2 linked regions of the Sus scrofa genome follow. The protein of the gene in region 1 purifies or fractionates together with the protein of each later gene. This does not show direct contact. Links are inferred from orthologs where the notes say so. Each region holds a gene or a part of one and is shown on either strand. Other genes may lie near its edges.

Region 1 (3,561 bases):
GAGCATAATTTTTTTTTAAAGTAAAACTTATTTTGGTACAGTATCATGGAATATGAGAGCACCCTTATCAGAGATTTACAGCAAACATTAGGGACAAAAAACCTGATGTGAACACCCAGTGTTACATTCTTCTGTTCAGGCTCTGACCTCATAAAAGGAAAAATGGAATTTGTAAGTACAAAAATCCATATTAAGCAAAAAACCATGCCAAGAGATTCCTCAAATAGCAAAGAATCTGTACGGCTACTGTGTAATCATATGAAGGATTTATTTGTTGCTGGTATTGATGTTAATTACCCAAGCCTCTAAGGTATTGAAGAGCTTTACCTGACTTTCTAGTTCTTTACTTCCTTTATAATAGAAATTTAATAGAGATAGTACTTAGAGATATAAAGGTATCACCTTAGACATAGCTTCAGAAGGTATTAAAAAAGTTAAAGTCCCTGGAAATAATGGCTAAAGTGTCAATGTAATCTTGTGGTTGTGGTTATTGGGAAAAGCCTATGTCTGACCTGCCTATGTGATCTTTGATACTATTCCTGGGGAATCTTTTACCAGCAGCAGTTTTTTAAAATAGTTACTTAAGCCTTATTCCACCAGGTAGAATTGCAGACAAAGTTAGTTTTTTGTTTGTTTGGGTGGCTTTTTTGTTTGTTTGTTTTTACTAAATCAAGAGAGCAACCCACTAAAGAAAAACGGTTTTAAACTCTGATCTCATGAGTAGATGGATTCAAATTTGTGCTAAGGAAATTCCCGCTGTGGCTCAGTGGATTAAGAACCCAACCAATATCCAGGAGGATGTGGGTTTGATCCCTGGCCTTGATCACTGGGTTAAGGATCCGACATTGCTATGAGTTGCATTGTAGGTAGCACATGTAGCTTGGCTCTGGCATTGCTGTGGCTGAATGTAGGCCGGCAACTGCAGCTCTGATTCAATCCCTAGCCTAGGAACTTCCATATGCCACAGATGCAGCCCTAGCAAAATGGAAAAAAAAAAATTGTGCTAAGGATTTGAATTGGTAGAAATAAAACTTTGGACTTGGAGGGGGGGCATCCCACATCATTTTAAAACCCCCAAAGGATAGGGTAGTTTTTGCTTTTTTCTTTTTTTTCTTTTTCTTTTTGCTTTTTAGGGCCATACTTGTGGCATATGGAGGTTCCCAGGCTAGGGGTCGAATTGGAGCTACAGCTGCTGGCCTGAACCACAACTCACAGCAACGCTGGATCCTTAACCCACTGAGCAAGTGCAGGGATTGAACCCTCATCTTCATGGATCCTGGTCGGGTTTGTTAACCGCTGAGCCACAAAGGGAACCCCAAAAGGGTAGTTTCTTATCTTTTGGTTACATTTTAGGTCGTTCAAGCCCTCAGTTAGACCCTTTGAGAAAAAGCCCAACCATGGAACAAGCAGTACAGACCGCCTCGGCCCACTTACCTGCTCCGGCACCTGTTGGGAGAAGGAGCCCTGTATCAACCAGGCCTTTACCATCTACCAGCCAAAAAGCAATAGAGAATCAAGAGCACAGGCGAGGTAGAGCTTTAGCTATTTACTTTATTAATTGACTAATCAACATCTTCCATTCAATTTATTTTCATTAAAAAGATGTACTTTATGTGAATCATCTCAGACGGTTTAAACTGAACTTGAATGTTCAGTCTTTCAGATTTGACTCAAAATAGTGATGGGGTGGAGGTACAGATTTTTGGTTTTGTTCTGGGTTGGTTGGTTTGTTTTTCCATTTCTGACTTTCCAGTTTTTGATTATGTGTCCTGAATTGATTGTCACTTTCTGTATGTTCTATAGCTGAAGTACATAAAGTTTCAAGACCAGAAAGTGAGCAGCTCAGAAATGATAGCAAGAGACAAATAGGTAAGTTGTTACTTGGATCTGAAAGTCATATCCTGTGCTTCTCAGTAGAGAAAACATTTGAAATGTATGATGCGTGATTACTATAAAAAAAAATAAACAGCAAGGGTTGGTGACTGTAAAGGAGTAGCACAGGGGAGTTTCTTGTGGTTACAGAACAGTTCTGTATCTTGATTGTGTGGTAGTTGTATAGATATGTACATATAGCAAAATGTCATAGAACTGTGTGAAAAGACATGCCAAAAAATGAGTACATGCAGGAGTTTCCACTGTGGCGCAGTGGGTTAAGAATACAACTGTAGCAGCTTGGGTCACTTTGGAGGTGTGGGTTCAATCCCTGGCCCGGCGCAGTGGGTTAAAGGATCCAGTGCTGCCACAGCTATGGCTCTAATTGAGTTCCTGGTCCAGGAACTTGCATTATGCCACAGGTGCTGCCATTTAAAAAAAAAAAAAAAAAAAAGCAAAACTGTTAAAAGTCTAAATATGAGATTTGTGGTGTCGTTAATTATATTGTGCCAGTGTCCTAGTTTTTTAATGTGTTTTTGTTTACTTCGTTTTGGTTGTTTTTGGTTTTTGTTTCTTTTAAATAGTCATACCTGCCCGGGTGTTCCTGGGCCAGGGATTGAATCTGAGCCATATCTGCAACCTGCACCGAAGTTTCAGCAACACTGGATCCTTTAACCCACTGGGCCAGGCCGGGTATCAAATCCATACTTCCACAGTGACCTGATTTGCTTCAGTCAGATTTTTTTTTTTTTAAGGCCGCACTTGCAGCCTATAGAAGTTCTTGAGCTAGGGGTCCAATCAAAGCTGCAGCTGCAGGCTTATGCCACAGCCATACCAACACAGGATCCAAGCTGCATCTGTGATCTTTGACACAGCTTGCAGCAACTCTGAGTCTTTAACCCACTTAGTGAGGCCAGGGATTGAACCTGCATCCTCACGGACTATGTTGGATTCTTAACCCCTGCACAGGAACTTCTGGTTTTTTATTTAATAGTTAAAGAAGATGTTACTATTGGAGGGGAAGCTAGATGATGCACACACAAAACCACTCTGTGCTTTTTATTTTTCAAAAGACTTTTTTTTTTTTTTTTCTTTTTTTTTGTCTTTTCTAGGGCCGCACCGATGGCACATGGAGGTTCCCAGGCTAGGGATCAAATCGGAGCTGTAGCTTCCAGCCTACGCCAGAGCCACAGCATCTCGGGATCTGAGCCACGTCTGCGACCTACACCACAGCTCACGGCAACACCAAATCCTTAACCCACTGAGCAAGGCCAGGGATTGAACCCACAACCTCATGGTTCCTAGTCGGATTCATTTCTGCTATGCCATGACAGGAACTACCCCCCCCCTTTATAAATGGCCGCACTCATGGCATATGGAAGTTCCCAGGCCAGGGATGGAATCTGAGTCATAGCTGTGACCTACGCTGCAGCTGTGGCAACGCCAGTTCCTTTAACCCACTGCACTGGGCTGTGGATCAAACCCACACCTCTACAGTGACATGAGCCACTACAGTTAGATTTTCAACCCAATGAACCACAGTGGGGACTCCATCTCTCTCTCTCTCTCTTTTTTTTTTTTTTTTTTTTTTGTCTTTTTTGTCTTTTCTAGGGCCATATCTGTGGCACATGGAAGTTCCCAAGCTAGGGGTCTAATCGGAGCTATAGCTGCCGGCCTACACCACAGCCA
Region 2 (4,277 bases), on another chromosome or scaffold:
AGTCCCCGGCTTAAAGCTGGCTAGAAACTAGTGCTTTATAAGAAAAGGCCCAAGGATGACTGTATTTTGCCTTCTCTCCCCTAGCATTAGAGGACGGGAAACAGCAAAAACCAGGGCTCCTTCTCTAAGCCTCCAGAATGGCCTGTCAGAACAAGGTGGCACAAGCTGGTTCCTGTGCTACAAACCTACCTCCTGTTCCTCAACCTTCTGCCCTTCCGACGGCTGCTCCTCCTCCCCATAGGGGGGTGGGATGCTGTTGTTGATGTTGAAGGTGACAGTGATCCTAGAAAAGCCAAAGAAACACAGAATGTACTTTCAACAGAGTAGTTAAGGCGGGTGCCTGCATCCTACCCACAGCTGGATTCAGCAGGTCTGAGGTGGGCCTACTATGTGCTGCCAGACGGCCGTCAAATAGACCCTAGCTCCTAAGACAGTCATGGTTGGGCCCCTTCCATCAGGTCAGCATCCGGGGCTCAGTGCCAACATGTGTCCACAGCCAGCTAACACTGCTGTCCCAGTCTTCCCAGGACACCCTCTGGTGGTGGTGAACAGCTGAGAAGCTGGGGGCAAAGCCTTTAAAAAGCTGTCCTCCATCAGAAAATCTGCCCCTGGGAGGAAGGAAGAAGGCGTCCTGGAGGGTGGTGGCATGAGCTGAGCATGAGGAGCAGCCAGTGAGGGGAGAGCTCCCAGAGAACAGGCTGCAGGACAGGCTCATTCCTCAGGGCAGTTGCGCGAAGTGTTACAATCACAAAGCAGACTGCAAACATCAAGTAGTGACAATTTTAAGTTAAAAGACTCGCCACCTCATGGTACCTCGTTTCAAAGTTTGAATGATAAACAGATTTGGAATGAGCAGTGCTGGGTGGTGTGCCGCAGTGCGCTGTAGTTCTTCTCCGGGCTGTGCTAACCAGCCGCCTTGTCAGTTTGAGGTTTGAGGTTCAGCCATAAAATTTGTCTAATCTGCAACAGTGCTGACTAAGCTGAGCTCCTGGGCACCAAATTGCAGTTACGTTCATTAGAACATTATTTTTACACTGGCCTTAAACTGCCTATGACTTACCCTAGTCAAGTGGTTTAGGCAAAGTTCCAGAATAACACGATGGATTTATGAAGGGGAAACACACTAACTACACCACCAGGTGAAAAAGAACCAGAATCCTACTTCACAGCACAAACAGAAACCTTTGTTCACCCAGAGTGGATCGCGGACTTAGCTTAACCAAGTGGAAGGCTTCCCACCTCTCTAATGATAACCCTTGCCATACCCCATCCTGCCACTTATCTTCTTTTCTCCACTGTAAACACAGTAGGGGCTTTGTTTTCCTAGCCTGTAACTCAGAGATTCTCTCCTACTGTCAGAATTTCTGAATTTGCATGCCTAGATTTAGGAAAGGCGTGGCCTCCCTCACCAGTAAGGGTTTAGTGAATGATGCCTCTACTGGTCCAACAGACTCCCAGCTACTTGGCTTCTTTCTACTTTCTTACTACCTTCTCATTAACCACCACAGCACATCAGTGTGCAGCGGATGAACGGCCTGGAGCTTGTGAAGTTACCAAAACAAGGCCTCTCAGCTCTCAGAAAGTGTCAAAGTACCTGCCTTAACTAAAGGCTGGTTTTTGGTTTTGTTTTTCCTTTCTGGCCACCCCTTGGCATATGGAGTTTCCAGGTCAGGGATCAGATCTGGGCTGCAGTTGTGACCTACACCGCAGCAACCAACTAAAGGCTGTTTGGGGATGACTCAGGGCAGCTCTTGCAGGGTCATGGAGTCCACAGGCCCCAGTACTTACTTTTCTCCAGCAACTTTCCTCACTAATTTGGCTTCTGTCCCATTCACTTCCAGCTCCCAACCTCCAGACATCTTGGGGAGAGACTTATGCTTCTGTATCTTCTTCTCTTCCTTAATCTCATCATTAAGAAATTCAACAAAAGCTTTGTCCCCTGCAATAGAAATCACTTAGTTACAGAAAAAAGAACCAATCAATCTAAAAGAGAAAAATGACCCAGGTTCCTGTAGGCAGAGATCTGGACTTGAGCTATTTCTAATACTTGTACTATTAGTGGCTCTAGGAACTTAGACCAACCCATATCCATTAGGACTCAGTTTCCCCATCTGTAAAAATGCCGTTAAGTTATCAGTAAGAAGTTGAGCTCGATTCTGTAAAAGTGATTCTCAACAATAAACTTCTTACCACTTTTCAAAACAAAGCAAAAGAATTCGTAACTACCCTACTTCTCTTGCTAACTACCATCACCGCTACTTCTACCCGCGACCTTTGGCTTTCACAAAAATCCATTTTCGAGAGACTAAGCTTAAGTATCTCTCCCCTCACGGGCAATCTCGCGTGGGTTTACCCCGCCTTTCGCCGATCAGTGGGAGATTGTTCCCGACCTCGGGCGCGGCTCCGGTCTGTCCACTTGAGATCTAAACTTCCCCGTCCCGGGTCCCCCTGCTCCACCCAGAACCCGGTCCGTTAAGCTCCCGGCCCACGTGCTCGAGTCTCACCTTCGGTGTGCAGCCCGCCGCAGCCGCAGCCGCAGGCGCAGGGCCCCCGAGGCCGTAGGAGGCTGGGCGGCTGCACCGACCCGGCACGCACGCTCAGGAGCCCGAAGGGCCGGGCGCACAGCCGGGACGCGGGCTGCAGCAGCCGCGGGAGCGGCTGGGAGGGCGCGGCGACGCAAAGGCCGGCGACGGCGGTGCCCAGGGCGCGGGGCACGCAGCGTAGCAGTTGCAGCATTTTGGCAGCGGAGGACACGTGTGGATGCGAAAGACGACTCACTCCAAGAAGGACGACTCCTTCTCACCGCGCCCCCTAGTGATAGGACCGCCGCCGGAAGTCCCGCCCCTGCCAGGGAAGCGCTTCCGCGCTGCCTCTTTGCAGACCGAAGACACCGTGGGCGGGATGGCGCCCTCTGCTGGCGGCCTCCGGTGCTGGACTCGCGTAACTAAATTTTCTTTCCGGAGTCGGCTGAGTTCAATTGTCCAGCATCAGTTCTCTCCAGTGGCTGCTGACACACCCTCTAAACTTCCATCTACTCTTCTCAAGCACAGCCAGGTTTTCTATGACTTCGTGGAATGCATTCTTGCCACCCACAACTCCCAAAGACCAGCCTCCGAGGCCATCTCCCTTAGGAAGCCTTCCTGGAGCTTCCTCCTCTTCCTTGAGACACAGGGACTCATGCCTGTGTGACTCGGCCCCTGGGTTTCATTCTTTTCTTGGCAGAAACCTGGCAATACTGGTTTACCTGGAAGCCACCCCTCACTCCCACCAGGCCTGGCGCTCCTAAGGGCAAGGTCCCTGATCAATTCCTGTGACTCCCCAGCTCTCTCCAACTTTACACCTTAATGTTCCAACAGGACATTATTTTTCTGGGGGCAAAAACCTCACAGCTTACATTAGATTTAGATTAAGAAAACTAATCTTCCTACCTTACCAGGGCACGTAAAATACACAGGGTCATCAAGAAAGTAAGTCTTCCCAAATCAGTGGTGAAAATAAAACAATATATTCCTTTTTTTTTTCCTAGGGCTGCTCCCGCGGCATATGGAGGTTCCCAGGCCAGGGGTCCAATCGGAGCTGGAGCCTCCAGCCTACGCCAGAACCACAGCAATGCGGGATCCAAGCCACGTCTGCAGCCTACACAACAGCTCACGGCAACGCCGGATCCTTAACCCACTGAGCAAGGCCAGGGATCGAACCCGCAACCTCATGGTTCCTAGTCGGATTCGTTAACCACTGGGCCACGACGGGAACTCCTAAAACAATATATTCTAAACAACATTTTGTGAATAAAGGAAAGGACACCCAAGAAAGAAGCCACACACATCACGTCACACACATCACGTACAAGATTCACTTATGGTATGCTTTTTTTTTTAAGGTTCACTTTTAATGGATTTAATAGCTGTGTGCAAATTTGAGCATTATATGCAAGAGCTGATGTTTCTATAGTTATGTCTGATCAAGAACAGACTCTCAAAATACAGCACAAACCCGAACTAGATTTTTGGGGGCTTTTTTCTATAAGTTGTAATATTCTGATCAAATACAATTCTTGCTTCCCCATAGATGCACTGTTTCCTTATATGTTCAAGGGGTGGTACCTCAGATGCCTGGTCATAGTTCTACTCATTTCTGGAGAGCTGGATTCAATGGATTCAGACATCACAGTACATAATCAGTTGGATCCACAAAGGAAAAACTTGTCCTCATTCTGGCATCTCTTTACAACAGAGAGGCAACATTAAGTTAGGATTTTTACCAAGAACTGGGTGTTG

Evidence for each region.
Region 2: the proteins of LSM14A (region 1) and C1QBP purify together in Homo sapiens (affinity purification with mass spectrometry; 3 studies listed by BioGRID and IntAct, with this or other methods). This does not show direct contact. The link is inferred for Sus scrofa from reciprocal best matches to the Homo sapiens genes LSM14A and C1QBP.

What each region holds. Positions count from the first base shown.
Region 1 is NC_010448.4:43,885,866-43,889,426, forward strand, and holds part of LSM14A (protein LSM14 homolog A), read left to right. Parts: intron 1-1,353; coding exon 1,354-1,530; intron 1,531-1,803; coding exon 1,804-1,869; intron 1,870-3,561. UniProt on the Homo sapiens protein: Essential for formation of P-bodies, cytoplasmic structures that provide storage sites for translationally inactive mRNAs and protect them from degradation. Acts as a repressor of mRNA translation. May play a role in mitotic spindle assembly.
Region 2 is NC_010454.4:51,546,925-51,551,201, reverse strand, and holds the start of C1QBP (complement component 1 Q subcomponent-binding protein, mitochondrial), read right to left. Parts: upstream 2,842-4,277; 5' UTR 2,737-2,841; coding exon 2,505-2,736; intron 1,940-2,504; coding exon 1,789-1,939; intron 284-1,788; coding exon 190-283; intron 1-189.